3 linked regions of the Ovis aries genome follow. The protein of the gene in region 2 binds, or shares a complex with, the protein of the main gene of each other region. Links are inferred from orthologs where the notes say so. Each region holds a gene or a part of one and is shown on either strand. Other genes may lie near its edges.

The links.
Region 1: the proteins of RBL1 (region 2) and E2F5 are in contact, whole or in part, in a crystal structure (PDB 5TUV), measured with the Homo sapiens proteins. The link is inferred for Ovis aries from reciprocal best matches to the Homo sapiens genes RBL1 and E2F5. Residues at the interface, in NP_002886.2 of Homo sapiens: Ser1000, Ala1001, Leu1002, Leu1003, Tyr1004, Lys1005, Phe1006, Asn1007, Ile1017, Met1020, Ile1021, Gly1024, Glu1025; in NP_001942.2 of Homo sapiens: Met162, Ile190, Ala192, Pro193, Ser194, Gly195, Thr196, Gln197, Leu198, Glu199, Val200, Pro201, Ile202, Pro203, Glu204, Met205, Tyr213, Leu217.
Region 3: the proteins of RBL1 (region 2) and ARID4A are in contact, whole or in part, in a crystal structure (PDB 7SMC), measured with the Homo sapiens proteins. The link is inferred for Ovis aries from reciprocal best matches to the Homo sapiens genes RBL1 and ARID4A. Residues at the interface, in NP_002886.2 of Homo sapiens: Tyr849, Ile850, Lys853, Val854, Thr860, Phe861, Gln862, Met865, Lys866, Arg869, Tyr879, Arg880, Asp929, Leu930, Ile931, Tyr934, Asn935, Val939, Ala946, Leu947; in NP_002883.3 of Homo sapiens: Leu957, Val958, Cys959, His960, Glu961, Val962, Asp963, Leu964, Asp965, Asp966, Leu967.

What each region holds. Positions count from the first base shown.
Region 1 is NC_056062.1:90,394,253-90,398,000, reverse strand, and holds the start of E2F5 (transcription factor E2F5), read left to right. Parts: upstream 1-1,258; 5' UTR 1,259-1,469; coding exon 1,470-1,607; intron 1,608-3,748.
Region 2 is NC_056066.1:66,042,642-66,046,289, reverse strand, and holds part of RBL1 (retinoblastoma-like protein 1), read left to right. Parts: intron 1-979; coding exon 980-1,029; intron 1,030-1,630; coding exon 1,631-1,817; intron 1,818-2,790; coding exon 2,791-2,957; intron 2,958-3,648. UniProt on the Homo sapiens protein: Key regulator of entry into cell division. Directly involved in heterochromatin formation by maintaining overall chromatin structure and, in particular, that of constitutive heterochromatin by stabilizing histone methylation.
Region 3 is NC_056060.1:68,643,760-68,647,507, forward strand, and holds the start of ARID4A (AT-rich interactive domain-containing protein 4A), read left to right. Parts: upstream 1-1,584; 5' UTR 1,585-1,734; intron 1,735-2,131; exon of another isoform or gene 2,132-2,722; intron 2,723-2,829; 5' UTR 2,830-2,880; coding exon 2,881-2,886; intron 2,887-3,748.

The sequences.
Region 1 (3,748 bases), on a different chromosome or scaffold from region 2:
CTCTGAGCTTCTTTAGCCAGCTACCTCATGACCTGGTCTCAACAACCAATGGTCAGCAGCCTCCACACAAGGCAGGGCCTGGCCACCAGCTGGACCAGGGACTAATCAAGCCTACCAGACTGCCCACAGTAGTCAGCCTGCCACAACAAAAGGACCCTAGCAGCCCACATCGAGGTACCCCTAGAGCGACAAGAGGGGAGAAGACTGCTGGGACTCATGGCTGTGTCTCCTACAAAAAGCTACTGCTGGGAAATATAAGCAACCTACCAAATACACAGCAATAACACATCTAGTCAAGCAAAATAAAGTGACAGAGGAACACGTTGCAAATGAAGGAACAAGATAAAACTCCAGAAAAAGAAGTGGAGATAGGCAATCTACCTGGAAAGAATTCAGGATGAATGATTTTTAAAGATGATAAAAGAACTTGGTAAAGAATGGAATTCTTTAGTGCAGAACTGGAAGTATTTAACAGCAGAGTTAGAAAATACAGATAACAAAGATGAATACAGTAACTGAAATGAAAAATACGCTTGAAGAAATCAACAGTAGACTCAATAATACAGAGGAATGGATCAGCAACCTGGAAGACAGGGTATTGGAAATCACTGATGCTAAACAGAAAGCTGGACTATAAAGAAAGCTGAGAGCGGAAGAATTGATGCTTTTGAAACGTGGTGTTGGAGAAGACTCTTGAGAGTCCCTTGGACTGCAAGGAGATCCAACTAGTCCATCCTAAAGGAGATCAGTCCTGCGTGTTCATTGGAAGGACTGATGCTGAAGCTGAAACTCCAATACTTTGGCCACCTGATGCGAAGAGCTGACTCATTTGAAAAGACCCTGATGCTGGGAAAGATTGAGGGCGGGAGGAGACGGGGACGGCAGAGGATGAGATGGTTGGATGTCATCACCCACTCAATGGACATGAGTTTGAGTAAACTCCGGGAGTTTGTGATGGACAGGAGTTGGCGTGCTGCAGTCCATGGGGGTCGCAAAGAGGCGGACACGACTGAGCCACTGAACTGAACTGGACTGAAGCCCCTTTTCCCAGTCGCGGAACCCACCTCCCGCCCCGCCCCTCCCGCTCTGCCCCCTTCTTGCCCCGCCCACCCTCCCGCCTCGTCCCTTATCGCCCCTATCGTCTCGCCCCGCCCCGCCCAGCCCTCCCCTCCCGCCTTCAGCGAAGCGCGTTTCCCAGCGCCAGCGCGCCGTGCGTCACTTCCGGCCATTTAAAGACGGGCCCCGCCCCCGGCGCGCCGGCTCGCGCTCGCACCCCGCCCCCGGTCGCAGCCCCCTCTTCACGGCCCAGGGCTTGGGGAGGGGAGGGAAGGGGTGGAGGCCTCAGGTGGGTGGGCGCCGCGCACCTGTAGCTGGCAGGAGCCCGCGACCCCTCGTGCCGCCCTCGGCGGGCGGCGACGGCCGCGGCCGCCGCGGGTCCGGCCCTGCAGGTGGCGGAGCGCGGGGACGCGATGGCGGCGGCCGAGCCCGCGAGCTGCGCGCCGCCCGGGGCCGGCAGCAGCCGGCACGAGAAGAGCCTGGGGCTGCTCACCGCCAAATTCGTGTCGCTGCTGCAGGAGGCCAAGGACGGCGTGCTGGACCTCAAGGCGGTGAGCGCGGGCCGCGGTCTCAGGAGGAGGAAGGGCGGGCCGCTGGGTGAGGGGCGCGGGGCGTGAGCAGGGGCCGCGCCGCCGACAAAGAGCCGCGGCGCCCGCGTGGCGTTCCCCTCAGCGCGCGGGGCCTGAGCCGGGGCGCCCTGGGGGTCTCCGCTGGTGCGGACTGGCGGCTATTGTAGGCGATTCCTGTGAGGGCGTCTGTCGGTTATTGAAAACACGCAAGCAGGCAAAACCCGAGTTTGCCACCTCTTCTGGATGAAACAAACAAAACGTGAACTCTACAGTCCTCCTCTTAAAATAAGAATAGTAAATAAAAGCGCCTTTCCCTCTTAAACTTATTGTCACAATCCTGGTGACTAAGAGGGATGTTTGATTTGTGAGTTAATTTGGTATCTGAAGCAAGCAAGCGAAACCGGTGTTTGCCGCCTCTTCTGAATGAAACAAAAAAGTCAACTCTTCAGTCCTCCTCTTAATAATAGTAAATAAAAACTCCTCTTTCACACTTTTCACAATCCTGATGACTGAGAGGTATGTTTGATTTGTGAGTTAATTTGGTATCTGAAGCAAGCAAACAAAACCCGAGTTTGCCACCTCTTCTGGATGAAACAAAAACGAAGTGAACTCTTCAGTCCTCCTCTTAAAATAATAATAGTAAATAAAAACACCTCTGGCTCTTACACTTCTTTTCATAACCCTGATGACTAGGGTATGTTTGATTTGCGACTTAATATGGTGTCTCATACACATGTATAAAAGTGAGACTTGCCATCACACGACGAGGGGATGTTTTATAACTTCCACCAAAAGAGATGGAAGCGCCGCGTAAACTCTCCATCACGGTTTCCCGAGACCGTGTGCTTGGTCTGTTACTACAGTTTCAGAATTTTCAAACAACAACATGCATCAAAAGCTGTTCTGTTAAACAAAGTGACTTAACCGTTCCAGGCCGGATTTGGAAGGATTCCACACCGCTGAGGAGCAAGAGAATGTGATCACTTGAATTACAATTCAGCCAGCACACCCAGTTTAAGAACTAAAGCTTTAAGAACAAAGGAAAATTTAATGAGTCAGTAAGCATCGCAGGCCTTTCCTAGTCATTACCCCTGAATCTGGTCTGACACGGGAGATTGGGCCTAGCCCCTAAGGGAGTGCTGGGACAACCTTACCTCCCTTAAAGGCTGCAGTTATCAAGACTGTGCTGAAAGGAGGCTGCAGCGTCTGAGCAGAGAGGGTCTTCTAGTTCTCCCTGACCTGAAACTCAAAAAAAAGAGGCCAACTTGATGGCCCCTGCTAGGAGCCCTCCTCTCAGGTTGCCCTGAGAGGTGAGGTGTGTTTTGGAATGTTCTCTCCATCTCCTTGGTGTAGTAGGTGTTCAGTAAGTGATTGTTGAGTTATCTGAATTGTTCTACTTTATACAAACAAGGCGTAATGCACAAATTTTGCATTTTTGGAAGTGATTTCTAGTCTTTTTTATTTGGAAGTGTTATTTCTAGAATTTTCCTACACCTTTTGGAGATTCTGGTCCTTTTCTTCCCTGTCCCCTACCCCCAGCTCTTTCTTCCATACTTCTCTCCCTCCCTAAAAGTGGTTTACAGCATATATAATAGTTATGAACTAAATTGGATTCTCTTTAAAGAATGTCACAGTAAGTCGTGAGGTCATCGATGAAAGCCAGGGATGTTACACAACACAGCTTGCAAACTGCTATTCAGGATCTAGAAATTCAGTTGTAGCCTGTGACTTCAGAGCGGAATCAGGAGAATTTGGGGTTTTCCAGATGAAACTGAGCTCTAAAGGGCTGACTGTGAGGGCTTCTACAACTTGCCTTGGAATAGGATGGAACTTTGCCCTTGCTTTTCTCTCAATTCTTTGTGTTCTTCCTGTTTCATCTGTGGTCATATTTTGCTGTCCAGAAGTCAAAAAGGCAGTGAGCGGGAAGTGGAGTTTTAATATTTCATAACAACTTTGTTTCATTCATCCTGAAACTTTCCTAAAAGTTCAAAGGTTTCTGCAGTAACAGTAGGTCTCATTATATTAATGACTTTTTACTTGTAGAGAGCAGTTTGAAAAACCAGTAATCTTTTTTACATATGTATGAATATGTTTGTAAATTTCACTTATTCACTTTTGCTTAT
Region 2 (3,648 bases):
GTGTGGCATAATTACTAGAATGTCTCCTTTTTTCACTCCAGAAGTATCCTGGTTTGAACAGTGGTTCTCTTGCCCATGGGCCACAGACCGTTTATTTGGCCTGTTTAGGGTGTTTTACGTTTTTATTTTGTTCAATTTTTAGCTTAACACATGAAGACCTTTTATGTGAAAATTTTTTAAAAATCAGAATTGGCAATATTGGTAACTACATAGGTAACGATTGTCAAGCTCAATAATGGCTACCTCTTAGGACAAGGAAGTATGCTTTCTGCCCTCTTCATTTATGTATGTTAAACCCTGACCCCTGAAAGCATTTGAGTTTACCATCCCTGATGTTTGATAATCTAAGAATAGTGTGGATACACAGACAATGTTAATAACAGTGTAATTTTCCTTTCTCACCAATTGTTGTTAGTCACTCAGTCGTGTCTGACTCTTTGTGACCCCATGTAGCCTGCCAGGCTCCTCTGTCCATGGGGATTCTCCAGGCAAGAATACTGGAGGGGGTTGCCATTTCCTTCTTCTCACCAGTAACAGTAGCTATATTCCTTTCATATCTTTTGCTTGTCTGACACATACCATCATTCAATAACTGTTAGTTTCCATTCTGTATAGACAGTCTTTAAAATTGGACAGCTTTCATCAGAATCATTTGGGGAATTTGTTAAAACTGCTGCCACAGTTCAGGCTTTGAGGTCTGTCAAGTGTGCCTTTTTAACAAGTTCCCCTACATGATTGTTATGTCATTAAAATTTGGAAACCATTGCTATGGATAGACTAACTTCAAAGTATTTTGAAATCTTGACATTAAATGTTTTTTAATATTTTATTTGCATACTAAATAGGAGTTACTGGTCTGAAAAAAAAATTTAATAATTCTGTTTTGTGTTTGTGTGTGTTAATTTAGATAAATGTAATGTTCTTGTGTGTACGTTAATATGCTTACTTACGTAATGTCACAATGACTTTTTCTTTCCAGATTTTGAAGGGCGAATGCCTTCTGGACCTTTCCAGTTTTACTGATAATAGGTAATTATCTAGCACTAAAAGTATCAGGCATATCATATACTGTCAGTAATGATTTGTTACAGTTGGTTAAGTGATATGTTGTATCAAGTTAACAGCTCCAAATTCAAATTCAGGTTTCTTCTGCATTGGTGGCATTCAGTGAGTGTTATTGTTAAGCGTTATAGTCTTAAATCTATTTTCAGAAACCATTGGCACTTAAAATATCTGCTCTCCTCAGAAACTCATAAACAGAACCAATGACTTCTGTATTTGAGTTGACATTCTTTCACTAATCAAATATTGGCAAATTTAGAATGTACTTATATTTCAAGGCCACACACAGTTGTTTCCTCAATGATTAGGCCTTAATTAGGTTCAACTAGTTTTCAGATTAAGTACAGATTCTTTTCAGTCACCTTGCAAAATAATTTATTGCCATATATGTGAATGTGAAGAATGTCCATGATCAGATAGAAACCTCAGATATTGTTAGATGGGCAGAGTTAATAAAAACTAGAAAGTCATGAGCTTTTCCATGCTCTGGAGTCAAAATATATCTTTAAGATAAATCCATTGTGTAACTTAGTTGTATCGTAGGAGCTTAAAAGAATTCTCTTTTCAGCAAAGCAGTGAACAAGGAGTACGAAGAATATGTTTTAACTGTTGGTGACTTTGATGAGAGGATCTTTTTGGGAGCAGATGCAGAAGAGGAAATTGGAACCCCTCGGAAGTTCACTGGTGACGGCCCATTAGGGAAACTGACAGCACAGGCTAATGTGGAGTGTAATCTTCAACATCACTTTGAAAAAGTAATATAACCTAGCCTGGCCTCAGTCTTGAATGGTTTTTTTCTGTGTGTGTGTGTGTGTTTCTACTAACAGCAGAAAAGTGAAGAAAGTGAAAGATGCTCAGCTGTATCTGACTCTTTGCAAACCCATGGACTATACAGTCCATGGAATTCTCTAGGCCAGAATACTGGAGTGGGTAGCCTTTCCCTTCTCCAGGGGATCTTCCCAACCCAGAGGTTGCACGCAGGTCTCCTACATTGCAGGTGAATTCTTTACAGCTGGGCCACAACGGAAGCCCAACAGCAGAAGTATCTTTCAAGTTAAATCTTAAATTTCTTCTACTAATTCATATTTCCTATGAAAACTTTAAAGAATAATTTTCAAAACTATAGCATATAGTATTTAGCTCATTTCTTGCTATTTTTCATGCTTGGATATTTTCCCAGAATGCCTGGATTTTCAGTAGACTGTGTGTCTTTGGATGTGAAGACATACTTTTTTCCTGTTTTTTTCTTTGTATCACTTTAGCTGCTGCTTTCTTGCTTTAAAATTTGCTTCCTACCATGTGCTTTTCTCAAACATCAGTCATATTACTCTGGATTTGATTGTTAATAGCCAAGGCTTAATTCTCTGCTTATGTGTTAGGTGGGTTGGAGTATAAGGTCTGCTAGAAAATTCATAGAAACCTAAGTTTTAGTCCCAGCACTTCCATTGCCTTTTGTCAGCTGTTTCCTCGCATGTAAAATGAAAATGTGCATGTTATATTTCAAATGAATTTTATGAAGATAAAATGAGATTGTAGAGAGAAAGCACTGTGAAAAAGTATTATTCAGAGATAGGATGTTATTAGCATAATATTGCTAAAAATGTGGTAGGTAACCAGAAGAGAGAGAAAAAGTAACCTACTAAACATGAATAGAGGGGATGCTATCTGTACTAAATTAGACATGTAATTTAGTGATTTTTAATGTCACATATTTTTCTTTTCTGTCAGAAAACATCATTTGCACCTTCTACCCCTCTGACAGGACGGCGATATTTAAGAGAAAAAGAAGCAGTCATTACTCCTGTTGCTTCAGCCACCCAAAGTGTAAGCCGGCTACAGAGTATTGTAGCTGGATTAAAAAATGCACCAAGTGAACAACTTATAAATATTTTTGAGTGAGTACGATATTATTTTTTCCCAAGGTTTCTTCTAATTTTAAATTAGATTCTATAGTTCATTCTGTTTTCAGTACTTCTGAATTCTGGAGATAATGGATATACATCTGACAAGTTTTACTATACCATTTAAATCACAAAGTATATTGACCTAAAATCAGGTAGAAGTACTATGAAAAATTATATATAAATTTTACTTCATATTATTATAGACTTTGAAGATTAAATGCATCTTAATGGTTATGTAGCTCTAACATTCCACTCTGGTAACACTCCTAATTTATGCATTACTGTTTTGTTTTCTTTTTTAAATGGATTCAATTTAAATGTCCATCAAATGGAAGACTGGTTACATATTGATCGTATAGCCATGAAATGGAATTTTATGCAGTTGTTGGAAAAAAAGACATATTTTTGTAGTAAAGATGATAAAATGAGGCCAGACCAGAGAAACTTATTTCCTGATACCTAATGAAATAACAGGATAATAAAAATCAGCAAACTATCAGCAACCAAATGAAGGATATTATTTCATGCTACAATTTTCCAAAGTGATGGTCAAGAAAGAAAATGAATGCTCCTAGTATGCCCCTTATGATTATACAGTGGAAGTGAGAAATAGATTTAAGGGACTAGATCTGATATATAGAGTGCCTGATAAACTATGGACAGAGGTTCGTGACGTTGTATA
Region 3 (3,748 bases), on a different chromosome or scaffold from region 2:
GGGTTCAAAACAAGTATTATGAGGATCATTTTAAGCAGCTATTCAAATCAGTGTAATTAGTTGACTCAATAAAAATACTATTAATAAGCATTACATTTCCTTAACAAATAATTCTGAAAAAACTGCTACGAGTGAAAAATTGATTCAGCTTTAGTAAAGATGTCCTCGAGTAAATTTAGTCAACGTGGATTATTGCCTATATTTTACATTTCCTTGATTATTTCAATCTTTAAAATAACTTGCCCAATAATACTTTATTCCTACCATTTCAAATGAGAGTTTTCTGAAACAGAGTACAAGATCTTGCTCATGGAGCAAAATCAATAGCTGCTCTAACAAAGTCCTATCGAGGAGGTTCTTTCATTTAATGTTTTCAGTCCCCGCAAATCCACTGCTCTTTCCTTTCGAAAAGCAGCGTGAGCCCCGTGCACTCTGGCACTCCCATTTGTCTATGGTTAGAGCAGCAGAGTCGTGCTAACAAGGGAATTCGAATTTCTCAGCACCCAAACTCAGCGTTTCCTTCTGTCTCCTCATTGCTTAACCGCGTGAGGAGCACGCGGAAACACCTTCCCACGGAGGATGGGACCAAGAACCCTCCCCTCTCCATCTTAACTGGTGAGGAACCTTCTTCAGTCGGTGGCTTTGGTCGCAGAACATGACAAGCTGCCGAAACCACTTCCAAAGGGAGGACGCACTGCTCTGAGATGAGCAGAATCCCGAAAATCCCTCACCCTCCCGAGAGGAGCCCAAACGGTCAGCCCGGAGAAGGAGACGTGCACGTCCCCTCCGCCCCTTTCTCTGAGGCCGCGGGAGACGAAGCCTCGCCCCCTCTTAGCCCGTCCCCCGCCCCCGCCCGCGACCAGCTCCCCACCCCGGCGCAGGGAGATCTCTGCTATGGCCGCCGCGCGGCCCCCTCACTTCCGGTGCCGGTGCCGCTAGAGCTGCGCCATCCCCCAGTCTACCGGACAACCACCGCTTTCAACTGACCTTTCTGAGAGATCCGGACTCTTCCGACCTTCACTAGGTGCTGTCCTGGAGGAACCGGCGGATGGTTGCCGCAGTTAAATGAATTCACGGGATATAGATTCCGCTCTCCTCTCACCAGAAACATAAAATGCGATACAGCTGCGGCCACCTCTGCCCAGACAAAATGGCGCCGAGAAGCTGGTTCAGCGCAGGCGCCTTGGAAAGACCCTGCCCCGCCCCCGTGTAAGTCCTGGCCGCAGCTCCGGGTTCGGTTTCCATGGGACACTCCACCGCCAATCCTCGTGCCGCACTGCTCTTCCTGACCCCTCAATTGACCAATCAGTGCTCAGTCGAGCACATCCGTAGTCGTATTTACCAATCATTTTTCAGGACTTGCTTACTCAATACCTGATTCTCCAGTAACGTTAGTCTTCGGAGACAGCCAATCATAAGTGGAAAATGTCCTACCTGCTGTTTTTCGCACCAATCGGTGAAGTTTCAGAGCTACATCCAATGAGGACGGCAGGTAGCGAACTCCAATCCGAAACTCTTCGGCGTCATGAGCAGCCAATAGGAGTTCGTGTAGAAGCGAGTCTGCTCAACAGCTTGTTATTTGGTGGATTGTGGCAGTAAATCGGGCGAGTGGGGAACCCGGCGCAGGAACTGCCGCCGCGGCCGGGAGTGGTGCTTCCCGGACGGGGGCCCACGGGGGTCAGCGGGGCGGAGGACTCGGGAGCTGACAGCGAGCACTTCACCCACAGTTGGTAGGTGAGAAGAAGGGAAGCGAGGGTACTGAGTGGACGAAGCGGCACTAGCAGCTGGCGCTGCTGCCCGGGGTCCCGGTGCAGTTGGAAGCTTAGGAGGTGGGGAGGGGGATGCTTGGCAAGCGGGGCGGTGAGCTCCGGTGAAGGGGCTAGTCGTGGAGCAGCGGCAGCAACTGCAAGAACAGCCTCCGCAGCAACCTCCTCGGCCGCTTCCCCAGGTTCCCCGGGAAAATGGCTGTGGGGCTGGTCGCGCCGCTAAGTTTGCTTCCGCGAGGCGAGGAGCGGACTGATTAGGGAAGCCGGCCCCCAACTCCGCGGTGCGTCCTCCCGGGTGGAGTCCGTGGCAGGACCCGAGGGGCTGGTGGCTGGTACCGCTCTGGGCTGTACAAAAAGTTGAGGCGGGCGCGGGGAGGAGGCGGCGGCTGCCGCTGTGCAGCTCCCCTCCCCTCCCACACCCTGTCCGGGCCACCTCCCCTCCTCCTCTCCGCCCCCCCCTCCTCCCAGCTCGCTCTCCCTCGCGGGTCTGCCCTCCCTCGCGCGCCTCCAGGCTGAAGGCCACGGCCCCTGCCCCATTGGGTGAAGAAGCGCTTCTCCTTCCTGACATGGTGCAGAGCGGAGGAAGGAGAGCAATGGCGCCGTGACACTCCGCTGCCGCCACCGCGGGCCCGGGGCGGGCCGAGGGGGCCGAGCGGCGGAGGCGGGGCGCGGGCCGAAGTCGGGGTATCCGGGGGGCGGCCGAGAGAAGGCTGGGCGGCCGTGCCTGCGAGGAGCCCGGAGAAGCCCAAACGGCGCTCTGCCCTTCTCCGGAGCAACCCGTCCGGGGGCACTGAGTTGAGCATTCCGGGTCAAAGTGGCTAGCGAGGCGGGGGCGCGGTGGGCCGCTGGCGAACTCCGCGGTGGAACCCGCTGCCCTTTGGCGCCGGTGGGGTTCTCGCCGCTCTCTAGGCTCCTGCGTCCTGGCTGCCCTCGGAGGGGATCTTACCCCTTCCCTGGTAAGGGTTCTGCCCCTCCCCGCTGGCGTTTGTTTACTTTCTTTACCGGGGTCGCTCCCCTCCGTTGACTGATTCTGTGCCTGTCTTTCTCCTCCCCTTGGTTATAGCGACGGAGAAGATAGCTCGTTGAGCTGGAACCCCACAGATCGCCAGTGAAAATGAAGGTAAGTGGAGTCGACGCTGCTCGGAACCTCGTGCCCTGAACACTGTCTGTCGTGAGGCTGGTGCTGTGGAATGTCATTTTTTTGGCTACTCAAAATTGATTCCTCTACTAAGCAGAGCTTTCTGAAAATGAGGACGTGTTGAATGGGTAAGAGATGATCATTGTGTCTAAATGCGGTCAGTTTGGCCCCTCTCCGAAGCAGTTAGCACTTTGGACAGGCTGCTGCAGCCTTCCCATTGTTGTCCAGTGGGCTAGTATTTTTAAACACTTCCTGTGTTGGCAGCACCCTTTGCAGAAGTAAAGCTTTTGTCCTGCTTTGGTTCTTTGGGGGATTTTTTGAATTTTTTTTCTTCCCCAGTGCCAGTGAGATTTTCTAAAGAAGGAATGTGTGTATTGTGTTAGGGACATATCATTTCTTCTGGGGATAAAGTGAAATTTTGTGGCTGGAATATACTTGAAGGTGAAGGAAAACTAAATTTTGTATATTATTATCATAACTAATAGCACTTAATTTCAGTTCAGTCCTTACAGTAAATATTTTAAACATATACCCAACCTAAAAAAAATTCTTCTGAAGACAGCTGATATTGCAGACATCCTGTGATGTTTAAAGGGAAAGGAAGGTATATCAACCTGTAGTTCTGAGGTGTTGAATATTTGCAAAAAGTATTTCTCATCAATTTGCATTATTCATAAATGCACTAACTTTAAATTTGATTTCTTACTCATTTACTGTTTCAGTGTATTGAGCTCTGAAATACAGTATTTTCCCAAACTTCCTCTCGCTTTCCTATCTCCTTGAAGTTTTGAAGTGACAGTGTACCTTCTTTAATGTTAGTTGGGAAAATAGAATGAAAAATCAT